2 linked regions of the Bombyx mori genome follow. Each later gene encodes a partner of the first gene's protein in a complex. Links are inferred from orthologs where the notes say so. Each region holds a gene or a part of one and is shown on either strand. Other genes may lie near its edges. The genes, in order: pre-mRNA-processing factor 17 and pre-mRNA-splicing factor RBM22.

What was found.
Region 2: pre-mRNA-processing factor 17 (region 1) and pre-mRNA-splicing factor RBM22 share a complex: the UniProt entries of both Homo sapiens proteins name them as parts of the postcatalytic spliceosome P complex. The link is inferred for Bombyx mori from reciprocal best matches to the Homo sapiens genes CDC40 and RBM22.

The regions. Positions count from the first base shown.
Region 1 is NC_085115.1:1,470,592-1,481,921, forward strand, and holds the end of pre-mRNA-processing factor 17, read left to right. Parts: intron 1-8,254; coding exon 8,255-8,432; 3' UTR 8,433-8,452; downstream 8,453-11,330. Other genes in the region: 5-aminolevulinate synthase, non-specific, mitochondrial, read right to left, coding at 8,542-10,065. UniProt on the Homo sapiens protein: Required for pre-mRNA splicing as component of the activated spliceosome. Plays an important role in embryonic brain development; this function does not require proline isomerization.
Region 2 is NC_085127.1:4,264,919-4,276,174, forward strand, and holds pre-mRNA-splicing factor RBM22, read right to left. Parts: upstream 5,627-11,256; 5' UTR 5,451-5,626; intron 5,377-5,450; 5' UTR 5,333-5,376; coding exon 5,279-5,332; intron 5,208-5,278; coding exon 5,154-5,207; intron 5,083-5,153; coding exon 4,592-5,082; intron 4,253-4,591; coding exon 4,079-4,252; intron 3,573-4,078; coding exon 3,430-3,572; intron 3,195-3,429; coding exon 3,082-3,194; intron 2,695-3,081; coding exon 2,494-2,694; 3' UTR 2,414-2,493; downstream 1-2,413. Other genes in the region: WD repeat domain 61, read left to right, coding at 7,838-7,855, 7,930-8,054, 8,436-8,596, 9,049-9,284, 9,500-9,687, 10,441-10,612, 10,691-10,780. UniProt on the Homo sapiens protein: Required for pre-mRNA splicing as component of the activated spliceosome. Involved in the first step of pre-mRNA splicing.

The sequences.
Region 1 (11,330 bases):
TTTTGTTATTGACGTCTGCGGTCAAATTGAGAATAGATTAAATATTGTTTGTCTTTGTTAATTTTTTTTTTATAGTGTAGTCTTGGCGAAATATGGTGTTAAGTGATTACGCAGCTACAACATAAATGCCGCTATCACCTACCTTGAGACAAGAGTTCTAAGCTTTCAGTTGTAGCAGTACCCGCCATTCAAACCGAAACGCATTACCGCTTCACGGCAGAAATAGGCAGGGCGGTGGTACCTACCCGTGGGGACTCACAAGACGTCCTACCGTCATTTAGTACGCAAATTGTAATTTTGCGGGTTTGATTTTTATTACACGATGTTATTCCTTAACCGTGGAAGTAAATCGTGAACATTTGTTATGTACATATTTCATTAGCAAAATTGGTACTTACCCACCTACCTACCTACCTGATTCAAACACCGATTAATACAAATGCACCAGGCGTCTTATCCTTTTGAATATTACTTTTAAACATAGAAATATAAAATTAGAAATAATCACTTTTAAACGTTAAGATATGGAATAGCATCGCAATGAACTAAAAATCCCTTTTAAGTAATTTTTTGAAAAAATAACATTAAAACATAAAAAGGTTTAATTAATATCTCTAAATAAGGTTTCCGTGTTCCGTTCGTTTGCTCACAATTCTAGTAGTTTCTAGAATAAGCGTTGCTCGTAAACAAAAAAACAAGTATGAAACAATGATTTTATTTGAATATCAAAATATGATAAATAAAATAAATTACCATTGTTATTATACATATTTAAATTTTGCTTCGTCAATTACATCCGTATCTAACGTATTGTTTAACGAAGCTTGAACACCTGTGTATAGTCAAATGAGATAAAACATATATATTTTTTGTATTGCCACATTTAACCGAGGTTTTGTGATCCGAAGTTTTGAAAAATCATTTATATACACAATATTAATATGCTTTAATGTTTTAGCATTCTGAAATACCGATAGGCGATAAGCGAGCTTTATGTACCAATAAAACGAGTCATGAACTTTGCTATGTTGAGTGAGCAAAAGTAATGTACTGTTAGAAGAAAAGAAAAAAGTTGGATCACAAATTTGAAGTTCTTTTTTTATTTTTTTCATTTTTTTCCACCTATGCTGATAGCCTGAGAGCTATTTCAGCTTCAACCATCGCCATATCCATATTAAAATACGGGTCGAATGTTTTCGTATGAAGTTTTCATGAGTCAAAATTGTTTTGCAATTATAATATGGCGATGTCGTTCGGTTCATTGTGACGCGTGGTTTATCAAAATGTACCAGTCAAAACATATCATAGCTTAAGTCGCGTCCATAACTATAGATCACAATAGTATTGTTTCGAGCAATGATTAGCCCTCCTTGGAAACTCTTACGCATTGACAGGCTTTATTAAAAACGAAGTTTACGGGCAAAAATAATTAGGTTAGTACTTTTTATCATGCCCGAAGATTGTTACCATCAATTGATAAAAATTAGGTTACATGGTAAAAAGATAAATTGCGTTCGAAATAATGAAACAAAAAGAGACGATTTTATTTATTTATTTAACTTTGTGGTCAAAATTACAGTGGCGAACATAATTCCTAAGGCATTACTTATCAGTCAAGCAAGGGTAGTGTAGAGACCGCTATGGAAGGTGCATTTCTTTTTGAGAAAAAGAAGGAACAAAATATATTTCGTGTGTATTTTGTATATGATTTTTGTTTTGTTTTAAATAAAATAATTATCACAGCCCTCTCTATACAACCTTTGGTTGACTGGTAGAGAACGCCTTAGGCATTATGTCCGCCGCTATACTCATGTGAATAAAGTCTTCTTCTTCTTTTTCTCCACTTTATCCCACTCACTCCTCTCTCTCTCATAACGTCATTCACACACTCCATCCATATCTTCTTCGGTTGACCTCTTCCCCTTCTAACATTTCCATACATCTCCTAGTCACATGCATCTTCTCTCATGTGAATAAAGTATAAGAAATAAATAATAATATACTGCGTGGTTTAGCTCATTAAAAAAAATCTATCTGTATGATTAATGCGAGCTATTTTACTGTTTGTATTTGTTTAATAATGTAATTAGTGCCAACCTATTCGCGTTTGAATCTGGCCTTGTGCACCGCGCTGTGTCTTTAGTTCAGCTATTTACAATTTGACGTTGAATTTGACCTTTTGGCCAGATATTATAATGAGCGGTCCGCCTATAAAGTAGTTTATTTCTGACGGTCAAAGACAAATTTTCTTGAATTAATTAAATAGAAGAGAACATGCTTTATTGGATATCGAAGTTAGTGAGGTTTTGTGAGAGAAACTGATACCTCAACTGTTACTGGAGCACATAGACATTTACAACGTAAATGCGCCACCCACCTTGAGATATAAATTCTAAGGTCTCAAGTATAGTTACAACGTTTGCCCCACCCTTAAAACCGAAACGTATTACTGCTTCACGACAGAAATAGGCAGGGTGGTGGTACCTACCCGCGCGGACTCACAAGAGGTCCTACCACCAGTAAAAAACTTCACTTCGCTTAAGACTTATCTACGCCAAAAAATCTGATACATTTTTTACTACGTGTTATCAATACGTAACGCGTAAAGAATGCCAATAATCCATTAAACGAATCGATTTTAGAAGATACCGTACAAGCGTCAGAGTTTGGAATTCAAATCTTATACCACACTATTTTAAGGTTGAATTGAGAATGGGTAAGTCGCACTATGGGGAACAAGTTTGGTAGAATATCCGTTTTAATTCACGTTGAATATGTTTTGTTTCAATATTACTACTACAATCTATATCTATACTAATATTATAAAGAGGAAAGATTTGTTTGTTTGTTTGTTTCGCATAGGCTCCGAAACTACTGGACCGATTTGAAAAATTCTTTTTCCATTAGAAGCCGACATTGTCCCTGATGAACATAGGCTACTTTTTTTTAATTTTTTTTAATTTTTTTTTTTTGGTTTCCTGTTTGTTTTAATGTTTCCGAAGCGAAGCGAGGGCGGGTCGCTAGTAACTTAGAGGTGGGTGGCGCATTTACGTTGTAAATGTCTATGGGCTCCAGTGACCACTTAACATCAGGTGGGCTGTGAGCTCGTCCATCCATCTAAGCAATAAAAAAAAAAAAAAAAAAAAACTTAATAAACTGAAAATGAGGCCGTCAGCGCAAAAGAATCTTAATCCACAATTTTTCATATTCTTGCTTAAATGTGTTTTGCAATTTATTTAAAAGATAATAAATATATTTTGGTGCAAAGCCGGCTTATCCCTAGTTTCGCCCTTAGATAACAAGATGGCTTCGTAAACATTACTTTTGCGCGCATTGTTTTTTCCTACGAAGCAGTTTAAAAGTATATTCTAACCTCATTATCTCCAGACGGTAAGCTATGGAAACAAACAAAATCTTTCAAATAGATATTATTAACAACGTTATCGTTAAAGATTATTTAATACATAATTATTCTACATATTATTATATTACGTAACATCAGTGTGTTAAGGGAATTATTCGAAGTAAACTAATTTAAAGAGAAGCTGATTTGAAAGTAGCTGTTAACAAAAATAGTGGTCAATAATAAGTATGTGACTAGGTCGCCCAGGTGAAGTTTACACCAATCTAGTTTTTCGTGTGGACGTTAGTTCATAGGACCTGAGAAATAGTTTCGACTGTAATCTTTTGTTATAGAACGAGGTACAATTCGCCATAAAACAGATTCTATCTACTATATCAAGCTGCTACATCAAAGACTTGTATTTTTTTGCTTAAATGGGTGGACGATCTCACAGCCCACCTATTGTTCAGTGGTTGCTGGAACCCATACACATCTACAACATAAATGCGCCACCCACCTTGAGATACGAGTTCTAAGGTCTCGAGGAAATAGGCAAGGTGGTGATACCTACCCGCGCGGACCAGTAATTACGCAAATTATAATTTTGCGGGTTTGATTTTTATTACACGCTGTTATTCCTTCACCGTGGAAGTCATTCGTAGACATTTGTTAAGTACTTTTGCATATTTAAAAGAATGTTCGTTTGTAATTAGCATTAGCAATTATTTAGCATTTTCTATTAATATTTCAACAAAACAGTAATCTAATGTACATTTTAATTCAATTAGTATATATTATATTAGGACAACTTTTTTAATTGTTTTGTTGTTTGGATCCGGTTTTGTCTGGACACTGCAAACTGTTTACAGTATCGTTTGTTTTATAAAATCAATTTATGGATCGATTGATTGATACGCGTACTGTATTTAAACTATAGTTTCCTTCACGAAGACAAACTTAAGCACTATAAAATTCTATGTTTCTCGTCCAAACTATTTTCCTGTTCGAATTCGCTTTGGTGTAACGCCCATGTATTTCTTGTGCAGAATGCTAAAGTGCGTCATTAGTAAACACGAAACATTGCACAAATAGATTACGTGGTTATTCAATCAAAATCCAATTAATGTTGTAATGATGGTCATTATATTAGTTCAGTCATTATGTATTCCGTTCTGGGTTTTTATATATTTATTGTTCTGCTCCTTAGACTCCCGTATAGCTTCTTTAAACGAGGCTTGTAGGGAGTATTAAGCGGTAGACAGCGGCTTGGCTCTGCCCTGGCATTATTGAAGTCCGTGGGCGACGGTATCCACTCACCATAACATGGGCCATGTACTCGTCTGCCTACACGGGCAATAAAATAAAATACCTCATACCTCCAACACGTCTAAAAGAGTCGCGTTGATAAGTTTGCGCCGTGCTCTGACCAAAGACACGAACGAATCAGCCCGCTGAGTTTCTCGCCCAGATCATCCATCCGCCAAAATCAAAGTTAGTTACATCCCCAAAAAAAAAAACCAAGACCAAAGATAAGGTCACCACCAAAAATAAGGTCAGGACCAAAGATAAGACTCACTGTCTGTGAGTTCTTATAATTGTTTAATCTAGAAAATGGATCGCTGACCCTGCTAAAGGAATTACAAGGAAAATTACATTTTATATTGTATCACTCGCCGACTGCACCATTTCGATCTCCCATAGATTTTTTATTGGATGATTAGTGGATTTGTGCATCAACAAAACCCAGCCCACTGAGTTTCTCGCCGGATCTTCTCAGTGGGTCGCGTTTCCGATCCGGTGGTAGATTCTGCGAAGAACTGCTCTTGCTAGGGTCAGTGTTAGCATCACTCCGGTTTGAGCCCCGTGAGCTCACCTACTAGTTAAGGTTACGCTGAAATAGCGTAAAAAAAAAACATAATTTTTAAAATGTTTTTGAAACGTGTCTTTTAATGCACAAGGATGGTCGCTGTTCTACTGCAAGGTTTTGCAAATGCCCGAACGGCAATAATATAGGTTGGAGTCAGTTAAATTAATCGCTCAATCATGAAAATATTTCTTTAGGTCCATCAACTTTCGGAGAAGAAAAGTTTTATTTACTTTTTACCGTTAAAGCTATTTACAGAGTTGCAGGGTGCACGGCCGATAATATTTGTTACAAAATACTACGTTAATAGAATGTTGGACTATTTTAGATGCGACAATCACGTTGTTACCCCGTGACTAAAGAAAAGTTTTATTTACTTTTTACCGTTAAAGCTATTTACAGAGTTGCGGGGTGCACGCCCGATAATATTTGTTACAAAATACTACGTTAATAGAATGTTGGACTATTTTAGATGCGACAATCACGTTTTTACCCCGTGACTATTATGTAAAGGCGCGTATTGCTAAACGGCTCACGGTTTTGGCAGCGGCTACTAAAATTTTGGCTTGATGCCTCGATAAGATACATTGATAGGGGTTATCATCTGATAAACAAAGGTTTGGATGCGTTTCATCAGTACGATGGTTATAGTTTTTCTAATCTTAGATTAGTAAAATGTAGGTCTGTTTTAGCTAATCGTTATTAATGTCACAATTGCCGTTAACTTTTAGTATGCCAAACTAATTCTGATTACATATAAATCAACAAGAGAAAGTGTCGAAATAGCGACCTCCCGATACTTGCGTTCAATTGCTGGACTATTATCGGGTTTTATTACCAATCGGTCTTATCGAAAGAAAAGGAAAAAAAAACCAGTAGGTAGGTATGCAATTATTCGGAGTTCAATAACCCATTCACAGTTTGATAAACAGTTAGGTAACTATGTATCTTTTGTAGTCTTTATTGAGTTTTAAACTAGGTATATTTCGTGGTATCGATTTGTGTCAGCATTTATTACTTCGGTGATACTAAACATGACAATGTATATTCATTCCTTTTTTTATTACCAAACGTTACCTCGTTTCACTTCATAAAGTTAATGACTTAGTTAATTATCGTGAAATGAGAAATGCTTGTTTAACTTGTTCAAATGTTTCTATGTAGTTTGTTATTAGTGTACACTTTTGGCTGACGTAATTTTAGGATCATACCAATGCCATATATTTTTCAATACAGTAACATCCGTTCATAACCGATCAATGAACAATTATAAATGACGTATCTCTTTATCCACTCGACATTGGGGGAATAAATGTCCGTGGTTATTTCCATAATAATGGAAACACTTGAATAATAAAAAATACTTTAATTTGGTTTGACCATTACATAAACCGATATTTTTGTACGTTCTGTGTAGTCAAAGTTGTATTAGATTAGGCATACAACAGTGATGTGTTGTTGATAAAAAAAACAGTGACCTCTTTATCGTTATGACGAAAGGGGCCATAACTAACGAAGGCATTTTTCATGCCATGGTTATTTAACACGAGTTGCTAAAATACAACTGGCCCTTTTTAATTGTCTCTGTAGACAGACGAGGGACATGTTGGTGAGTGTTGGTTCATGGACGTCAGAAATTCTCGAGGCACAGACAAGCCGCTAACAGCTAAAAACTCTTCCAATTAAATATGAAGAACATGCGCTCAGAATCACCGTAAACGTCTTAAGATTTTTTTTTTTTTTTTTACATCACCGGATTTCCGCCAGCATTTTATGACCGATAGACCGGGCATGTCGTAATTAAACCGATTAAAATCCCCTATCTCTCAATAACCAGGCTCAGACCAGACAAATTCACCCGAGACGGGCTGGTGGCAAAGTTACCGACGCATGTCTCCCCGCCATCCGTAGAATTCTATTCACATTTACTCAGCACAAAAGTTACTATATAATGGCCTTATTTAGACGTACCCAGTTTCTAAGCCGCTTTTTTTGATCGTAATCTGTTCATTAATATCCATGTATTAACTTGAAATATAAGGAATAAGTTCAGAATTTTTTGAATAGTAATATTAAAAAAAAAACCTTAAGTTATTAGTTGCCGGTATGTGAAATAGTGAACTTATTGTTAATTCTCTTGCTAGGGCAGATGTTAGCAAAGTTGCCAGGTTAATTCCCGTGAACTAAACCATACTAGCATAACCCCTCGAGGTTACTAGCACTAGATAGGCAAAAAATAATAATGTTGATTCATATTGTCATCAAAGAACTAGATCGTAGAACAATATTTTTGTAATACTTGGTACGAATACGTGGTTTATTCTAATGAATTAATTCTACAGACGACCTTATTTATTGAGGTCATTCTCGTTTTCTCCCCTTTGTTTTAAATTGAAGGTTTTTGTAGTTAATTTCGTTATTACGTGCGTATAAGTGCTGATTCAATAATTGCTCTTTAAGTTTCTTTAGGTCAAATGCTGTGTGCTGGAATACTTTCCTTATTATGGCAGCTACTTTTGAGATATATTATATAATGATTTTAACGAACAAATGATTTTATAATCATTATGCTCTTAAAAACCGTCAACGTAAAGGATATATTTTACTATTTTTTTCTTCTGTCCAGTCGACATGAGGTTTTACTAGTGGTAGGACCTCTTGTGAGTCCGCGCGGGTAGGTACCACCACCTTGCATATTTCTGCAGTGAAGCAGTAATGCGTTTCGGTTTGAAGGGTGAGGCAGCCGTTGTAACTATACTTAGACCTTAGAACTTATCTCAAGGTGGGTGGCGCATTTACGTCGTAGATGTCTATGGGCTCCGGTAACCACTTAACACCAGGTGGGCTGTGAGCTCGTCCAACCATCTAAGCAATAAAATAAATAAAAAAAGGGTGAGATGTCTCAATTGTAGCCTATAGTTGTTTCATCATTACACTCCTAAATAGTTTATCAACAGAAATTTTAATAAGAGGCAGTTGTATGTGAAATGCAATAATTAAATTGTTAATTGTGTATTTAATAATTAATCTTTCCTAATTGTTTACAGTTATTTGGTGTCGGGTGACGCGGACGGGAAATGCTACATTTGGGATTGGAAGACGACGAAGCTTTATAAGAAGTGGAAAGCTCACGACGGAGTTTGCATAACCTCACTGTGGCACCCACATGAGCCCAGCAAGCTGCTTACCGCGGGCTGGGACGGCGCCATCAAATACTGGGACTGAATAAAACAATCAAAACCATTGCCATGCATTTAATTTTTTTTTCCCTAACCATCAACCATAATAATTCAAATAAATAAAAATTTCGCTAGTTCAAGGTCAAGGTCAAGGTCTAGGCGACTTGCATCGGGTATTTGAGGGGCTCCTCGTAGCCGATGTCCACCTTGTACTCCATGCTGCATTCGCGGCAAGTGCCGTTTATCATAAACTCACTGAAGCGTATGTTATTCTCATGGAATGATTCAATGAGTGCCGTGATCAGGTTGTCTATCATTTCGGGCGTGTGGTAGGGGCCCGGCGCGAACCGCAGCCGCTCATCGCCGCGCGCCACCGTGGGATAGTTGATAGCCTGCACGTAGTGGCCCCTCTTCATTAGAGATTCGGCAACGAGGGCCACTTTATCGGCCCCTTTGATAGGAACGGGCACTATGTGACTCACGGATGGTAACTGTGGCAAACCGGCCACGAGCAATGACAGTTTCAAATAGCGCACTATGGCCTGGTGCTTAGCTCGTAGATTCCGTCCTTCTTCACTAGCTAAAAGCCTTATAGCTGCCAGGGAGCCAGCCAGAACCGGTGGCGGTAATGCTGTAGTAAAAATGAAACCCGGTGCTAGAGACCTTATAGTGTCCACCAGGAGGGAGGAACCTGCGATATATCCTCCGACATTACCATAAGCCTTTCCCAGTGTCCCCGATACAATGTCTATTTTGTCTTGCAAACCTCTCTCTTCTCCTATACCCGCACCATGTTTTCCATACAAGCCAACAGCATGCACTTCATCAACAAAAGTTAAAGCTCCATAATCATGTGCTATATTGCACATTTCTTCTAAAGGACATATAGCACCACTCATGGAATGAACAGTTTCAAATACAACTAGCTTTGGTACACCTTTGGGAGAGTCGGCCAATAACTTCCGTAGGTGGTTTGGATCGTTGTGCCTGAAGATATGCTTAGGGGCTCGGCTGTTCCGGATTCCTTGTATCATAGAAGCATGATTTCCTGCATCCGAGTAAACTATGCAATCAGGCAGTATTTTTGCTAATGTAGATAAAGTAGCGTCGTTAGCTACAAAGCAAGAACTAAATATTAATGCTGCAGGCTTCTTATGCAGTTTTGCAATTTCTCCTTCAAGCTTCTCAGTCATCTGGGAGTTTCCAGCAATATTCCTTGTACCACCTGCTCCTGTTCCATAGGATTTGATAGCGTTGACAGCAGCATCCTGCACAGTTGGGTGACGGGACATCCCTAAGTAATCATTGGCACACCAGACAGTTACTCTACGATTTTCAGGCCCCTCCAGGGCTTTCGGATATACTCCATCAGCAGCCAAACGAGACACCTTTCTAAAAACGCGATAGGAGTAGTCCCTTTTTTTAGCGTTGATCTGGTCGTGGAAAAAGTTCTCGTAGTGGTACGGAGTCGCAGGTTCCGCGATGTCCTCGGTCATTTCCTTAGGAGCTTCCGAAATGATAGAGTTTTGCTGAATGAAGGGGCATTTGGTTTCGTCATTTCCCAAAGAACGAAATCCACGAGATATAATCGGGCAATAATTTCCGTACTGCTTCATCAGGGTCGCACCATAATTTTTCACGAACGCTTGGTTCAACGATCCCAAAAACGGACAAGGCATTTTACGATTTTTATGTAATCGATGACACAAAACACTTATGAAACTTGTTGAAGTTGGAAATAATTTATTTAAGGATAACTAAACGTTGGCTCTCACTGTAGCCGAACGTTCCACTGTGGTCTGTGACCGATCAACTGGGAGCTCAGCTGACAGCGACTTTCATTTATAAAGTTTGTGTCGTCATATCGATTTGAACGTACTTTTGCTGAGCTCCCGCAGTCATACACACTACAAAATTTATTTTGATTTGATTTCGTAAGCTTAGTGTTGCCAAATAGCTAATGTCATTTGGAATTAAATATCAACAATATTGAACGATTTAATTGTATCAAAAGTATATTAAGAAGAAATTTATTTAATAATTGCATTACTTTTATCCATGATAATTCTTAACTTGTTTTGTAATTCAGTAAAATTTAGTTTTAGTTGTAATTTATGAAACTTAAATTCACAATCGACTAAATAGATTTTGATGCTGAATGAAGTTTTGACAGTATAGCTTTATTTTTCCAACTGGAAAAGCAAAGGTGTAGTACCATACAGTCTAATTTCATATATATATTTATGCATTTTCACAAATACTAAACAGTTAATAAATCATCGTTAGTACACATTTAAACCTGAAGAAATATTAAATAGACAAAAAAACCAAATCATACAAGTTCACTCTTCGTGCTCTCGCCAAAAAGTCCTGTCAATTCAGTCTTAATGCATAGATAATACACAATATTTCTAATGCCGGCCACTCACATGCGGGCAAATATTCGTACATTGTACGAATGTTTGCGCTCATGTGAAGGGCCGTCAAACATTCATTCGCAAACTTAGCAGCTGTGCAAATGGGTTCGCATACTCAATTTGCGAACCCGTTTGCGCTTCCTCCTACACTTGTTTACGAATGTCTCACGAATTTCTCCTCCTTTTTAATTCGTCAATAGAACATTGAAAAGAAAAAGATTTTTGAATTCTTTCCCAGACATCATTAACAGCTATGCTGTTTTTATGGGATTTCTTTTGATGAAGATACGCTACACAGTAGACGTCACGAACTATGAAAATGGCGATACGTCCGTTACCTTCGCAATCGTCGGCGCAACTGGGCAAGCGAATGTGTGGGAGACTACGTGAAGGTTCGAGGTTCGCGCGCTTTGATGTCTTTTAAAAAAACGACACAGCTTGGAAAACCACGAATGCAGCGAAAACTTTGCATAATCATTTGCAAATGTCGTTCTACATTTGCGGGTTTGCGTATTCGTGCGCATGTG
Region 2 (11,256 bases), on another chromosome or scaffold:
TATAAAGATTACGAAATGGTTATGAAAAATTCAATTGGAGGAAATCTCTAATAAAATATTTTTTTTTTAGTCATAGCTTCTATATCTCAATATACACTATATATAAATAGATAATAAGTTTTTGGTATATGGTTACTAAATTATACTAATATTAATGTAGACTGTTAATCTTACAAATAAATATATAATTTTAACAACTTAAATCGAGCCATCTCAATTCTGCTACACATCCACACTGTGTCGGGTAAGAGTGCTTGCATACGTCAGACTTTTGTAGAGCTGATTATCAGGCTGATTGAAATTCTACACGTTTATACAAACAACTTTTTCTTAATAAGTCACTCAAAAAATTAAGCTCGGGCAGAGATGAGTGGGTTTAAATATGCGGGGCCCCCGTTCGCGCGGGGCCCGTAGCAGTTGCTACTCTTGCTACATGGTTAATCCGGCACTGGTTAGAGGTAGGTAGTAATTAAAGAAGTTTTAGGTCTTGCGAGGTTAACGACCTTTTGTGACACGTGGGCTATGTCCGCCAGCTGTTTTGTTTTAGCTTATGCATTCACCATATATGAACTTGCTATTACTTTAAGTACTAAGCTATTATTTCTTTTTTATTGCTTAGTTGGGTGGACGAGCTCACGGCCCACCTAGTGTTGAGCAGTTACCGAAGCCCATAGACATCTACAACGTAAATGCGCCACCCACCTTGAGATATAAGTTCTAAGATCTCAGTATAGTTACAACGGCTGCCCTACCCTTCAGACCGAAACGCATTACTGCTTCACGGCAGAAATAGGCAGGATGGTGGTACCTACCCGTGCGGACTCACAAGAGGTCCTACCACCATACATACAAACCATATTTGTTTCCCAGGTAAAAAAGAATGGAAAATTCAAAATCGAAGAACAATTCGTGTGAACGAAGTCTTTAATAATTGACTATAATTATGACAACCTTCTTTCAATAAGGATGGACAGCTCGAACACTTAATTTATGAAACATAATAACACTTTAAAACACGTTAAAATACTTGAACGGCAACATTGTTATTACTTGGCTGTGCGATCCCTATTGTAAAACTAATACAAACATAATTTTATTGTTATTTGTAATTTGTTTTATTCTTGACGAAATGTTAACATTACTCCAGCAATTATAGATAAGATTTTATTAAATACTATATATATATACTGAAAATAATTATGAACGGCTGCAGTAAGTTAGTAAGATATTGTGCAACCTATGTACTTAGAAATATTTCATTTGGCGCATTTTTTTTATATTTTAATGTCATATTTTAAAGCGCATTTATTCAACGTTCGATTATTATTAGACTATTACCGGACGAGACGAGAGCTTACAAAATATGCTTTAAGAAAATAATATCCAATAAACACCCAAGGCTTTTAATACTTTTATATTTATTGTATCGATTACATGTACCAATTGAATTTTAGCAGGCTCAATATTTGCATATCTATATTTTTGTGTCCCTATACTGTTTAATGCTAAATTATAATTTGTGATGTGGAGTTCGAAACCTTTAGCGATTTTTAAAACTAAACTTTTAGATGTGTCTAACATTCCAAAGTGTACATAAATTATTAACGTCTCTAATTTAGTAGTAACTTGTATTCTCGATGTTCATTTAAATATATATATATATATATATATAGTTAATTACCGTTAATCTGAATGATCCTTCTTGCCCTTCACTGAGACTTAGATGCACAACACTATAATGTATATGTATAGAATTAGGATATGAGCATATTCTTAAAACTAGTCAACCGACTAAACAGCTTTCTGAGCCAATATTAATCTGCTTTTAAATTGTTTCATCGTCGCGACGTACAATTAGTGCGTCATCTTAATTAAGATTCATTACGTAATCTGGGCCTAGTTTAATGTAAATTATTTAACAGACCGTCCTTACCCAGAATAAATGGTAAGCGAAGGAATGTAGTTTTATCAGAATGTTTAAACTGTTTTGTAACAATTAAGTAATGTTATGAACTTATGATTAATAATAAATATAGTTTCAGAATATCTGTTTTACTTTGAAACCTTTATTGATATTAACATGAAAGAAATGTAGAAACTTATAAGAACTTTTTCATTACTAGCATTCTTTAGTTAGGTCAGTTTCATTTAATTTGAATGAAGGTCTCTAGTACTAGCAAATTGTTACGGCGTCTTTCCATCTTCTTTAGCAGTGCTCGTTTATTTAAAAATAATTCATTTAGATCACACCACCATCTTCAATTCCGTTTTTTTATTCTTTATTTTACTATTCTATAGGTATTAAGCTTGAAGGTACTGGGTCGTTTTGGGAATGGCTACTCTATATCGAACCTTACTTAAATTTATTTTTCAAATTTCACACAAAGAATACCACAAACAAACAATGCACAAATCATAGTTATTGGATTTATTCACGTTTAACAAGCATCGTCATAATTTAAAGTTCATGACTATGAATTCTATTAGCAACTGCTAAATTTGCGGCGCGTTGGTGTGTGCGTGGGCCCCGAGACGCGCGGGGTCCTGGCTAGGGTAGTGCAGGCGGAGCGGGGCCGGGAGCGGAGCCGGAGGCGGGGGCGGCGCCATGCCAGGCGGACCCCACGGTCCCCAGCCCGGACCACCATAGTGGTGCAAGTTGAAGAAATCGTTCGGACGGTTCGGGGGTGGTGGCATCTGAACACAGAATTTACAAAATATTACAAATACGGTCTCTAAGTTTTGTTTATTTTTATTGCTTAGATGGGTGAACGAGCTCACAGCCCACCTGGTGTTAAGTGGTTACTGGAGTCCATAGACATCTATAACGTAAATGCGCCACCCACCTTGAGATATAAGTTCTAAGATCTCAGTATAGTTACAATGGCTGCCCTACCCTTCAGACTGAAACGCATTACTGCTTCACGGCAGAAATAGGCAGGGCGGTGGTACCTACACGCGCGGACTCACAAGAGGTCCTACCACCAGTAAAGCTAAGTACCACCAGTAAAGTAGGCTTTGTTCAGTATCCTTTGAAGAAAAGTAAAATATTTTACATAGAATTTAAAACATTTTTACACTAACTTGTGGCGGGAATGGATGTAAATATGCAGGGGGTGGTGGCAACGTCCCAGGCAATCCAGGAACTGGTTCCAACATGGGTACACCATCATTCTTCTCAGTAAGTCCTTGTCGTCCTGTTATATACAACAACATTACACACTCATAAATATTACGAAATATAAACTTTTACTATCATATTACAGATTGAGGTCTTTAAATTATACTAGTTTGAGTACAAACCTCATTTCAGAAAATAACTTGCAAAAAACATATTGAATACTTTTTCATAAATGTAGTGTATTCTAACATTTTGTAGTTACCAGGTACTCTCTTAGAAACTTGCACAATGCAATAATAATGTTTTGTTACCTTGCGATTTACCCCATTTGATTGTCAGTCTCTTGCCAAAAATAACAAGACGATTGAAAGTCTTTTCTGCAGCATGTTCTGCAGCATTTCTTGAAGTATATTGCACAAAGGCACACTGGGCTCGAGGTACAAGAGTCAAACATCTGAAAATTCAATAACTTCTAACATAGTGCTAATTTTATCAAACAAGTCTAGAATAGTGATTTGTTTTCTAATGATACACACATTTCTAATGACAACATCACACCATTAATTTCATCAGCCTTGTGATGATGATCAAAATCTCAATTACATTAATAGATAATAAAAAAATACAAGGGAATACTACTGTGAACTGATGAGAAAAATGGTTGTAGCAACTTAAGATAACCACCAATCAGATATCGGTCTTATTTTAAAAACCATAATACTAGGGATGTACTATGGTTTACTTGGTACATAATCCTTAAATTAAATATTAGTTAGTCAACTCTGAACATATGAGAATACTTTACATTAGCTGCATAATTTAAATAAAAAAATATTTAGATTATTAAAACATAATTAAGATATATGCAGTGTATATCACCAGACACAATTATGAGTTTATTTCTATGAACTGTTTGTTTCCAGAGCATTGTTATTTGTTGTGTTAACTTGTCAAACTTACCTAATTTCACCATATTGGTAAAAGTGGCCTCTAAGCTCGTCCTCAGTGACATTATCAGGAAGATTACCAACATACAAGGTAGTAACAGTTTTGTCTTCAGGTGGAGGTAGAGCAGGCATTGCAGCAGCACGACGCATAAGCTTCTCAGCTACTGGATCATTTACACCATAATACCTGTGAATAAAAAATTATGAAACCTTCAACTTTTTTTTTAGAAACACTAACAGCTATTTACTGTAAAATATCAAGAGATATTCAATAACAACTATGATATTGCTGTTATTTCACATACTATTATTACAATGGAGTTTCAATAACTTAAGCCTCATTAATTCGCAATCTTTAGTCAGGATTTGGTTCATTTTTGGAACTCAAATGAATAATTGATCAAAATCTATGAATACCTTAAATCGAAAGACTTTTTGTAATGCAATTTACTAAAATTCCACTTTACAAAGACGTGTTTATTTTTATTTTCACTAAGCAGATGTACAGAAAACTTATGTGACTAACCTGTCTTTAATGTTCTGATCAGCTAGTGGATCATCAGGATCTGTTGGCTTCTCGTGACGATACGGACATTCTTCCCCTCGTCTACATTCTCCTTTGACCCAAAACGAGCACACGTGCGGTCTATTCCTCTTATAATATGGAGCTGTTCTAGCTAACCGCACCAACAAATCGGACGATCCTTTAGATTTTAGAGAATTGGTTGGCTGTGTTGGATCAGAGTTAGACAGCTGACTCTCCAAGTTTTGTATGTAATATTCCTTGTTTACTTCGTTTCGAGGTAGGTCATCCTGAACTTTTAATGCAGCATCTCTCACTTGGATTGGCAGACCATATTCCAAATCCAATAAACATGTTTGACAAACATTTTTCAGTTTCGAACAGGTCTGACATATTTCTGTTTTCTTGAAACGCATTCTTGCTCCGGGACACCATCGAAACACTGTGAAAGGTCTTGAGCATATTTTACATTCTTTACCGTATTTTTCTTTAGTCTGAAAATAGTTAAATGAAAAAAAACAATCAAAGTTGTCGAAATAATGTTATCGGAAACCACAATACATACCATTCTAATGTAAGGGTTATCTCCAAGACATGTTTGGCACAATATTGGAAAATCCTGCAAAAATATAACATGGTTACTACCACAATGAGATAATGATAATTGATAAGCTTCAACAATATACTCACGGCGTCTTCCCAATTCTGACGATTGTATGTGTTTGTTGACTTCGATGTAGCCATGGCGTGTCCTTTCTTGATATTATTTTAGATTCAACGCAGCTTAACTGTGACAAAAATAATTGTTGAATTGAAATGTAATTTGTATTGTAAAGTTGAAATGTAATTTAGTTTAAATTACCCTATCAAACAAAACACTTCTTTCCCATTTCTACATGCAACTAAATCACAAAAGTATTTAGTTACCAAGGTACGTCATTGAACATTCATTTTGTAATGACAGATTTTCACTCTGAACGAACAGCACTGAAAGTGTATAATCTATGGCACTGAACCGTCGACAGTCGACACTGGGATGAACATAGAGATTATTGATTTTTTTCGCTTAAACAGACAAAGAAATCAAGAGCATACAGTTCTTTTGCAATGGAAAGTAAAGCCAAGCCTATTCTATGTAGAATTAAGAAACTCTATGACTAAAGTAGTTGAACTACTTGGACTTCAAAGGAAATCAATTCAAATAATCTTTCAGTAAAAGGGGAATTCTCTGCAGGAAATGCAAATTTCATAGGAATTAAAAAATATCAAAAGAGCGGTGCTACTAAGAGCCATTTCCTCAGATCACTAATATCGTTAATTTGCTACTACTACAACACTTACGTAATTTGACTAAAATTGTTCAACAAGTCAACGAAGCTATAAAATGCTATATCAATTTCCAGTTTTCAGCTTTATAAGTCAAATGGCCGTCACTGCCGGCGTTGGAACACCAGGTCGATGTTTCCATTCTTTTTCCACTTTTTAAATAAATAAAAAACTTCATAGCGAAATAGAAAGACTCTTGGTACTTAACCGTACTAGGTTATGTTATGGTGAGCTGAGCAGAAACAGTGAAACAGTGTAGAATTAGCAATGTTTCTCAGGTTGTTTGAGTTTTGAGTTCTTTCTGTGTTTAACTTCTGTTTTTACTACTTTCTATTAATTTTCATTACATTTCGAATAATCACCTTCAGGTCTTATTATGATTACTGGTGGTAGGACCTCTTGTGAGTCCTTATGGGTAGGTACCATCGCCCTGCCTATTTCTGCCGTGAAGCAGTAATGCGATTTGAAGGGTGGGGGCAGCCCTATACTTGAAACCTTAGAGCTGATATCTCAGGTGGGTGGCGCATTTACGTCGTAGATGTCTATGGGCTCCAGTAACAGGTAACACCAGGTTTGCTGTGAGCTCGTCCACCCAACTATGCAATAAAAAAAATAGAATACTTAATTCTGGATAGTTATTGATCTATTACTTAAATCTTACGATGAAATTTTATAACTAAAATCCCATAACGAATAAATGTACTACTGAGAGAGGGCACATGAGAAATTAATTAGAAAAGTATTAGTAGAATTATTGCTTGAGGAGACAAATTTGAACCTAATACCAAACCATCTTCACGGATGGATACAAAGTTTTTTTTTGACGAGCCAACGGCCTACCCGGTGTTAAGTGGTTACCGAAGCTCATAGACATCTATAACGTAAATGCCATCACCCACTTCGAGACATCTTAGTTTTTACAGTGCAATGGCTGTTCCACCCTTCAAACTAAAACGCATTACTGCTTCACGGCAGAAATAAGTAAGGTGGTACCTACCCGTGCGGACTAACAAATCATCGTACCACCAGTATCATGGACAGTGGATACAAGCGTTTTCTCAGAGGGCAACGGTATCATACTGAAGTGTAATAGATTTGTAAGCTAGCGGGTAAAATACTTAAGGATTCTAAGATCACTGGTCAGGATCGGAAACCTGGAGGGTCTGATTGACTTCCTGTAGGGTCTGGGTTGGCATCAGTAAATATTCCCAATCTTACGGAAAAGATAAGTAATGTCTATCACGTCAAGTATTGCAAAATTGTCCACCTTTCAAGATATATGTCACACGTACATGCATATGAATCATGTTTCTTTTGCCTCATTGATTCAAGAAATTAAACTAAAAATTACAATTTCTGGCTCAGGTTTATTACTGATTTGTTTCTCAAAAAACCGGTTTTTTAAGGTATTTTTAGGTTTTTTCCATAAAGGCTAAATAATCATTAAATAAAACAAATTTACATGCAAATGAAGAGTTTTCTTCATACAATTAATAGGGTGAGCATATTTTATATAAGCTTAATGATCTTATATTATCCAATAATAAAAAGCTTTTTAGTTTTGATTTAATACTATTGTATTTTTTTCAAACTGTACTGTAGTTTTTAAATGTAATGCACGGTAATTTGAATCTCAAACACGGCATTTTTTATTTAGCAGCACGGTAGTTTGTATATTTGATCTGCTAGCAGTGGTGTGAATTGTGAATGTAACGTGTTTTTAAAAACCGATATTCTTAAATAATTTATTTATCTATAAAACCGGTTTTTCCGGTTTTCTTCAAACGCGTTACATCCCTAATTGGTACCTATGAAAAGTTGCTCAAAAAATTGTAAAATTCGAAAATTCCGAAATAATGTACACTATTTGTTTTAATTAGGAAACTAAAGGTTTTAAGATCGCGCTTCGGGCTTCTAGTAATCATGTCCATTACAACTCTGGTATAATTTAAATGTGTACATAATTCTTCAGTAATTAAACACCGGTTCCGATTTTAAGTCAAACCTTTTTTCAGTATTATTTACAATTGAAAAAAGAAAATGCACACGAGGATGCAATTTGGTGTTGTACTTGGAGTAGGATAGAACCCGAGAAACCGAAAGAAGGCGAAAATGATACAGAAAACGCAGAGGAATTACAGTAAGTAATCCTAATTCCATATGCCACTAATAAAAGCTTCAGAAATAAACTTTAAAATAAATATAATTTAGTAATTTAAAAAGATCTTAAAGTGGTAAGCATCATATGAACTTATACTGTAATAGAATATTAATTATACTAACCTGGCCTAAAGTACTAAATACAACCTATGAAACCTAAACATAATGTAACATGAAAAGAAAACAGTTTTAATATTAACTTATTGTAGTGTTATGAATGAATTATAATTGCTTGATAAATTGAAACCTTGATATTCAAGCAATATCATGATAATATTTTGATTGTAATTGTATTAAAAAAGTTAATAAATACGTGAACAGAAATTCATAAGATTCTAAAATTAACATTTTAATATTACAGGGACTCTCAGAAGGAATCCGCAGAAAATTACATTATAACCGGTGGCTTGGATGACTACATAAAAGTGTGGCAATTAGATAACGGGAAACTAGAAATTAAGCACCAGCTCGAAGGACATTCTTTAGGAGTGATTTCAGTTGCGGTTAGCCCCGATGGGAAAAGTATGTGTCAGATCTATCAAGACAATTTGGTAATATGAGTCCACTATTATCAAAGCCGGCAATCTGACTTTTGGACAATGATTGGTAAATCAGAAAAACGAATTATTGACTTTGTATTCCATTGACAGTCACAAAACTCTTCGGAACAACATCTTAGATAAATAACAGGTTAACTATTAACCTTTATTTAATGCAGGTTTTGAACCGTATTCTTTAAAGGAGATGATTATATTCAAATCAATCTGTATTGACATATCAATAAATTTTTTTTGTCCAAATGCACAGATTGCCACCTTTGATAATAGACGACTCATATAGTCTATGAAATAAATCAATAATTAACATCATCAAAATTAACCCAACTTGTGTTGAATTTTAATTGGTACACTACAAAAAATACTCATTGAGCAATAACTCTTTAACTTTTGTACATAAGCTAAATGTAATTTTAGCCTTAGCAAGCAGCTCACAGGATTCATCATTGATACTATGGAATTTGATCTCGGGTGAAAAACTAAAAATGTTTGAAACTGGACTCACCGACGTTTGGACTTTAGACTTTTCACCAGATGGAAAACATGTTATTTCTGGAAGCAATGCAGGGAAAATACTCATTTTTGGAGTTGAAAGTGGTAAACAGGAGCAAGTATTGGACACCAGGGGGAAATTCACTCTTAGTGTGGCTTACGTAAGTAATTTTAATAAATTATTTAAATAAACTACCAACTTGCCCCAGTGAGTCTTCACTTATTATCAGTATACGGAATAAAGAATACAACAGCACAGTTGTACTGTAATGTATGTATGTAAATGAGTAGATGGTCTATTAGGTATTGAATGCCTCTAAGCAATTTAATTAATTAATTTAAGAGAATTTAATAATTTTAAATTTCTGCTTTTTAGAGCCCTGATGGGAAATACATTGCCAGCGGAGCCTTAGATGGAATTATCAATATCTTTGATGTGGCTCAAGGAAAATTAGTACATACCCTTGAAGGACATGCAATGTCTATTAGAAGTTTATGTTTCTCTCCAGATTCACAGCTTTTATTGACTGGCTCGGATGATGGTCATATGAAACTTTATGATGTGTATGTGTATTTTAATATTTTTTTACTCACACTTTAGTATTGGTTTCCAAAACAAGAACTCCATCTCTATCGCTTTTTTTTCTTATCTAAGGCTAAACAGGCCTACATGAACCTATAGAATTAAGCATGTGCATTATTTGTCAGCAATTCCATCCGCAGTGTGTTAGAAGTTCACCCATCCTTTTTCGACGAATCATAAATAGAAATTAGTTTCTATTTATGATTCGTCGAAAAAGTGGCGCGACACGATAACCCTCTTATCATGGTAGCCGCAAACCATAGACCCAATCGGGAATACCAATTAGACCAGATGAACAGTCGCTGTCGCCCTAAACACATAATCTTGGACCCTCCCAATCTGCTATCTGTGCTTTTGGGCATTTCAAGCCTGATGCGATGAAGGGCTCGTCGTGCAATTTGATCCACAAACTCAGCTCAGTGAGTTTCTTTCTGGATCTCCTCCAATGGTTGCGATTCCGATCTAGTGGTAGATTCAGGGATGCACTATCTTTGCTAGGGCAGATGTTAGTAAAATCTGTAAGGCTATCGCCTATACGGTCGACGAAGCAAGCATAACTAGCAATAGGTAGGCAAAAAAAAGCTATTTACAGAGAAAGAATTACATTTTTGAAAATACCCATTAATTTATATGGCAGTGAGAGATAAAGAACTACCATCCTTAAATCTTAAATTTTATTAACGAAAACATTATACAAGTAAAAACCTATTTTTAAAGTGTTTTTTTAATTACAGAGTACATGCTAATTTAGCAGGTACATTATCTGGCCATGCATCTTGGGTGCTGTCAGTAGCATTCTCTCCAGATGGAAAGCGTTTTGTATCGGGTAGTGCAGATCGAACGGTGCGTGTGTGGGACTTAGATAGCATGCAATGCCAACATACGTTCAAAGAACATAATGATCAGGTTAGTTAATAACAAGGTAAAATTGAATGTAATTACACAATGTTTAAATAAATTAAGTATACATTTATTATTTTTCAGGTTTGGGGAGTGAAATTTAATGCTGAAAGTAATAAAATCATATCAGTATCTGAAGATAAGTGTGTGAACATTTATGATTGTCCTCTATAGATGTTATTTTTAAGTAATGCGTAATAAATTATTATTAAGCAATTGACCTATTTATACTTCCTTTATATCCTGAATCAATATTATTTTAGTAAACGTAGTGTTGATAGAAAATTTTAAGAAAACAATGACGGAGATATGAATAGAGATTGATTGCTGTAAAAGTTATTTAATCATGTCTATCTAGTAAGCAGTCTGAATCATGAATTCTCATGCCACCTTATTCTTAGTCTATGCCATAATATTCTTGTAGAAATTATATAAATTCAATTTGATTCATCACTATATTTTCTCTACCTGTCCGAGTAGGCAAAATCAACGATACGTTCTTCAGTTTAAAATAGCATCTCCATAATGACATTAGTGGAACTTTTAAGTGGGAACGTACACCTTACGTTCCCACTTAAAAGTAGTTATTTGCAAAGATTGACAGCGTTCCCGCCAAAAAAAAAATTGGATAATTTAATATTTCTTCAAGT